Xenopus tropicalis: one gene and its partner. The protein of the gene in region 1 interacts with the protein of each later gene in a biochemical or structural test. Links are inferred from orthologs where the notes say so. Each region holds a gene or a part of one and is shown in the gene's direction. Other genes may lie near its edges.

The links. The genes of interacting proteins can lie anywhere in the genome.
Region 2: the proteins of rara (region 1) and nr0b2 form a complex in vitro, tested with the Homo sapiens proteins (2 studies listed by BioGRID). The link is inferred for Xenopus tropicalis from reciprocal best matches to the Homo sapiens genes RARA and NR0B2.

What each region holds. Positions count from the first base shown.
Region 1 is NC_030686.2:8,758,065-8,762,163, reverse strand, and holds the start of rara (retinoic acid receptor alpha), read left to right. Parts: upstream 1-1,299; 5' UTR 1,300-1,795; coding exon 1,796-1,964; intron 1,965-4,099. UniProt on the Homo sapiens protein: Receptor for retinoic acid. Retinoic acid receptors bind as heterodimers to their target response elements in response to their ligands, all-trans or 9-cis retinoic acid, and regulate gene expression in various biological processes.
Region 2 is NC_030681.2:89,460,358-89,462,513, reverse strand, and holds the end of nr0b2 (nuclear receptor subfamily 0 group B member 2), read left to right. Parts: coding exon 1-208; 3' UTR 209-1,656; downstream 1,657-2,156. UniProt on the Homo sapiens protein: Transcriptional regulator that acts as a negative regulator of receptor-dependent signaling pathways. Specifically inhibits transactivation of the nuclear receptor with which it interacts.

The sequences.
Region 1 (4,099 bases):
TATGGCCAGCTTAACCCTCATACAGGCATCTTGGTGGCTCCTACCTGCTGTAGTTGGCCACCATTGTCAGTTGCTCAGGTGATAATTACCCCAAAACCCTCGCTGCCCCCTGGGAAGGGCGTCCCACAGTGCTTACATTCCATGGCCCATAGCAGGGACCCAAGTTGTAGCAGTCAGTGATTTTTATTTTTATTTTTTTTGGGGGAAAAAAAAACTTGTCAGGCCAAAATCAGAATAAGTTATAAAGCCACTGGTGTTGGGCTGGTGTGGGGGTATATACACTCATTTGTATTTATTAGCAGGAGCCTGCCATACTAGTACTGGGGGGGGGAGGGGTCAGTTGATTCCCAAATATGCGGGGGGGGGGGGGGGGAAATGTCTGTGATGTCACTGTGAGAGAAGGAGACGGTTGGGTCGTTTGGAGGTGAGGCGAGAGGGTCACTGAGAGGTCACATGCATGATATTAGGCAAATGAGGGGGGTATTGAAGGGGGGGGTTGGGGTATTTAGATCATGGCAGGAATACACAGGAAGGTGGGAAATGGGCAGGGCAGGCTTTGTTGTGATTGAGCTGTGCCCCCAGTGGCATGCAATGGGTTAAAAGATAGGGGGTGTTGACTTGCGAGGCTCAGCTGCCTCCAGTCCATCAGGAGGGGGAGGAGGCAGGAGGAGACACGGCTGTAGAGTTTGCAGCATTGAGCGGTGTGTGTGTGTCACGGGGATCAGTCCTGAGAGGAACAGTATTCCCCCAATGCGCCTCGGCCCATTACAGGAGAGCAGGGAAGCCCCTCCGCCGCGTTACCAGGAAACCGGGCATCCCCATTCTGCATGGAGCCTCCATTCTGCCTAGTAACCCACATACCCAGGGAAGCCTGCAGGAATACCTCCGTCTGACCAGGGATCCTTCAGTCTGTGGCACCGGTCGCCCCTGGGGGTGCAAGGATAACCGTCCCCATTAGCATTGATCCTAACAAGGAGCCCGTTGTGCTAACAAGGAGATCCCACACAGGAAGTTGTGCAGATTCTGCAGCAGGAGAAGTTGACTGGGGGTCCATAGAGAGACCTTCCATTACAGGGCAACCCCCTTCCCCCTGCTGAGAAGAATTGCCCCTTATCTCACACTATCTGCCTGCAAGGACTCCAGCTGCCCCTGTAGGGATTGGGAGCTGATCCCCAACAGATTTGGCCTAATTAAGACTTATAGGTAAGGGATCGACATGCCGGGCAACCCTTTTAATCCCCTGCCACTCTCCCTGATCCCCAGCCAAACTGGGTGCCCCCCAAATTAAGTGGTTCGGAGTGGGGGTTCTGCCCCCGTTGTGCTGTGCCAGGGATTCCATGACTTCAGCCGGAAGAACAACAGATTGAGAAGCAAAAAATTGGGCTACGCTGCAGCATGATGGAAAGGGCATGTAGGGTTCTGGGACACAAGGAAAGGCTCTGCACGGACCACCCTATATGCAGCTAGTGGGGTTCACGTTTTACACCCAGGACTCCCCCCCCAGTTCCAGTTATTTGATGGAATCCGTGCGGAGAGTCTCCCATGTGATATTCCCAGCGGATCTGCCTGCAGAAGCCCATCCCTGCATTTCCCACCGACTTGGAGAATCTCCAATGGCTCTGCTGTGGGATTCCTCCTAAGTCCATAACAATTTCCTACCGGATCTTTGGGGTTTTTCCCCCCCTATTACCCTAAAAATTCCAATTCAACCCCAGACTGCTGAATTCTCTTCCACCCCCCCATTTTTTTTTTTCTTTTCTTTTTGTTATATGGTGAATTTGGAAGGGATTGTAGGATGTACGAGAATGTGGACGTTCCTGGTTTGGGCACTAGCCCGACGCACTACCATATGATGGATTTCTATAGCCAGAACCGGGCTTGCCTATTGCAGGAGAAAGGACTCGGGACCATGCATCCCTACGGGACGCCACTTCGAAGTCAACACTGGAGCAGTTCCAACCACTGTACGTAGGTGATACCCTCTCCACAATCCCCGTCCCTTGTACCGCGGCGGTGCCGCTCGCGCCTGGCTTATTGTTCTTATTTTATTATCAATTTGACAATTTTATTGCCCATTATTCTCGTAGAAGACATCTGTAATTGTGGCACGTTAATGCCTATGTCCAGATGCGCCGCGGCAACATCTGTACGGATAATGCTCTGTATAAATAATCCCAATCTATAACGTGCGCCGAACAATAGTCTCTTTGCGCCGCTCGTAGAGTTGGATTATCCGTCTGTCCTAATGGGAAGATCTTTGTTTTGCTGTTTGTCCTGCAGTGGAGACAATGGCAAACAAATTCTTTCTAGACTGTTGTGGGTGGGACTGTCTCTAGACCATGACAAGATAACCTCATTTACCGCTAGTAGAACGTTCTAGCCGGAGACCGTTTCCCTATACGGGGGCTGTTAGTAACGCAGGGAACTTACTGCTAGATAAGCGTTTAGGCCTCAATTGCGCTCGGATTGAAATGAATATTTTTTTTAATATCGCCAGTATAATAACAATAGCATCATATCTGGGCTATGCAGTATTCTCAGAGTAGCGCTTTATCCACAAACCTATGGGGGTTCTTCTGTTATGGAACTACAACTCCCAGCATGCCCTTACAAGCTTCACTTGTACAGGTCTAGTTCCTGTGTTACATTGCCTCTGGCTATTATTGGGTGAATGCAACTTAATGAGGGTAATGGAAATAAATGACAAATTATGTGTTTTGCATTTTCATGCCGAGCCGCGCTGTATCGTTTCAAAGCGGTTTATTTTCGTAAATGAATTTGGGCCCTGTCTTTGTAACGGTTCCGTGAGCGAGGAATGGGCCTCTGGGCCCACAATCCAGTTTGATAGTAATTAAGTCACCATTCCTGTCTCTCTGTAACTCTCGGGGCATAGGGGCAAAACTCAATGTAGTAATAACAATATCCTGCATAATACTATTTGATACAAACACTTAGGGTGAAGACACACTGGGCTACTTAGTAGCAGCTACTTGTCACGGCTACTAAACTCCAGAAAATCCCCTGCCATAGACAATACTGAGAATTGCCTCTGCTAAAGCACAAGTAGAGACAGTTATCAGTAAATGATCAGCATTGTCTGTTTCTGTCGCTGTGACAAGTAGCTGCTACTAAGTAGCTCTGTGTGTCTTCACCCTAAAACGTGGCTCCACTTAACTCTTCCTTTACCCCTCTGTGTAAAAAAGTATAGCCGGATATGCTGGTGGGCAGCAGTCGGATAACAATGTGGCTGCAGTGTATGGTATGGAGCATTAAAGGGCAACTGCACCCAAAAACTGTTTCGATAATGTAATCCTAAGCAACTTGCCGATATAAATTCATTATACATTCTAGTGGTTTTTTGTAATTGATAAATGAAATCAAAGCAGCATTTGGGCCTTCCTGTCCTCTGGGACTCTCACATGTAGCAGAAGTCCAGCCTCCTCCGGGGTATCCCTGCATTGTTTCAGTAGTCAGAACCAGCAGTGCAGCCAGATTGTGAAACCTTTTCATTACAGGGGTAGTTAACTCTGTTACAGAGTGGCCTATTCTTTGCAACTTTTTAGTTGGTCTTCATTTTTATTTTGTATAGTTTTTTAATTATTTGCTCCTTCTTCTGCCTCTTTCCAGCTTTCAAATGGGGGTCACTGACCCCGGCAGCCAAAAACCTATTGCTCTGTGAGGCTCCAGTTTTATTGTTATTGTTACTTTGTATTACTTACATTTCTATGTAGGCCCTCCTCTATCATATCTCTGTCTCTCTTTCAATCCACTGCCTGGTTGCTAGGTTAAATTGGACCCCAGCAACCGGATAGCTGCTGGACATACCAAACTGGAGAGTTGCCACTTAAAAACCTAAATAATAAAAAAAATAAAAGACCAACTGCAAATTAACTCAGAATAGTACTCTCTACATTGCACCAAAAGTTAATATAAAGGTGAACTGCCCCTTAATTGTATTTTTAATGCGGGCCGTGTATATGACTATTAGATTAATACAGTGGAGAATTAAAGGCACAGTGTAGCCAATACGCTCACGTCAGCACTAAAGTTTATTATGGTTACTTGTCCTTGATTTTGTGGGTTTGTGGTAGTATTTTGG
Region 2 (2,156 bases), on another chromosome or scaffold:
CACTCTGCAGCTGGAAGCCCAGCATACACTAATGGAATTTATCTCAATGATGCACAGTCAGAGCCTTGCTCGCTTCAACTGGATGCTTCAAGCACTTGACACTGTAAAAGAAGTTAACCCCTTAGTGATCACAAAACTTTTTTTCAGTCCCATCTCTGGTGAGATAAATGTGGAAGAACTTTTGCTGGAAACATTATTTGTAAAATAAAAAACCTACTATTGTGACATGTATAAATGTCTCCAGAACTGCAACAGCAAGTTATGGAAACCATAATAACTTATAGCTAATATCATTTGAAAAAGAATGCTGTGGTGAAAGCTTCCCTTAATGCCAATAAAGAGTTTACATACAGTGGATCAGCCTTTCCGGAATGATACTGTGACATTACTCAATGAGTTAATGAAATGACACTTACATAGGAAGAAATGCTTTCTGCAACGTGACCACAGTTATACTCCTTATATTTGTTTGTCACTATATTAGGGATACACCAAATCCAGGATTCGGTTTGGCATTTGGCTGAGATTCAGACTTTTTTGGCAGGATTTGGCCAAATCCATAGTCCTGACTGAGCCGAATCTGAATCCTTAAAATCATGTGAATTTTTGCCACAAACATGGAAGTTGGGAAAATTTTGTGCGTTTTTTCTATGCCTTAGTGTGCATATGCAAATTAGGATTCGGTTCAGTATTTGGCTGAATCATTCACAAATGATTCATGGTTCGGCTGAATCTCAAAATAGTGGGTTTGGTTTATCCCTACACTATATACAGACTACATAAATGAAAATTATAACTAAAGTACATGTTGCTTCTATGTATTTTCATGCATTGCACTACATTATTTGAAATCCTTGTTATAATGTTCTCTGGTTCCTTTATGACTATTCTTGTTTGTTCTACAGTATATACACAATAGCTTCTCTCGTGTGAGTGGGACCACCAATAGCTGAAATATACAGTTCTATTGAGTAAATATGTTTTGTAACACAAATGTGTGTCATGTGTGACTTTTTTACAAGAGTACAAAAAGTCACACATGACACACATTTGTGTTACAAAACATATTTACTCAATAGAACTGTATATTTCAGCTTTTGTTTTCTTTAAACGCCACCTATATACACTTTGAATTGAGCAAATTGTAAAACAGTTTGCAAATGATCAGGTGACAATTATTAAGTCGTTTTCCACATCATTTGTCACGTGGCTTATGGCACACAACAAGTTATAACTGGAAGATGTTGACATCCATATTGACAATACTGAAGTTGTCTGCAATCCCAGATATTTTAACTTGTGCCAAATACACTTTAAGGTGCTGGAGAGATATTTTAAAGCCTTGTTTATTGAGAAGCTTTCTTAGATACAAACAAAAACAAGAAAACAGTGGTATTAGTTATTATTCATAATAGGTTAAAGATACTTGCCATAAAGAAAAGAAAATACAGAAAAAATGATACTTTTGTTTTATTGTTCTTTGGGTGACTGAAAACAATTTTGATATGAGTCAAGTCTCACTAGGTTAAATGTAAGTGTAGCACTTAATCTATACACTGGTTTACTGTTGAAATTTAATATTTATTTATTTTTTTTTGGTTGCAAATAGTCACTTTTCTTCAGTGGAAAACAAAATAAATGTATTCTTTAAAGATACATTGTGTATTTGTCATTTTTCTACCTAGTCTGCTATTACATAAAGTATATTATATATATATATGCTACTTTATACCATGTATAGTTTAAGATTTTGATGATTCCTTAAATGTATATATTTTCCTCTCTAGTTGTGTGGCAGTAATTTACTAGTGTGATCTTATGCATTAAAAAGAGTAAAATTTCCAGACTGGGACAGGAGGTGTCTTAAGGGGGACCTGCCACCCTAAGAAATAATTACAAATTGTTTTCTATTGTGTTTGTCAAGCAAAATAAACTTCAATTACACTATATAAATAATTTTAAACTTATTTCCTTTTGCACTGGAATTGCAGAAAACATGCAGGCTCCATTTTGTGGACACTGTTATTAAGGCAAGCTATGCATCCTGCTAAAATCTTGTTTCTGTGCCAGTATGGGGGGACCTGATATCAGTATCCATGTACTGGTTACACAATTAGTGCAGTGACATCTAAGGCATTCTGAACTGAAAATGAAAG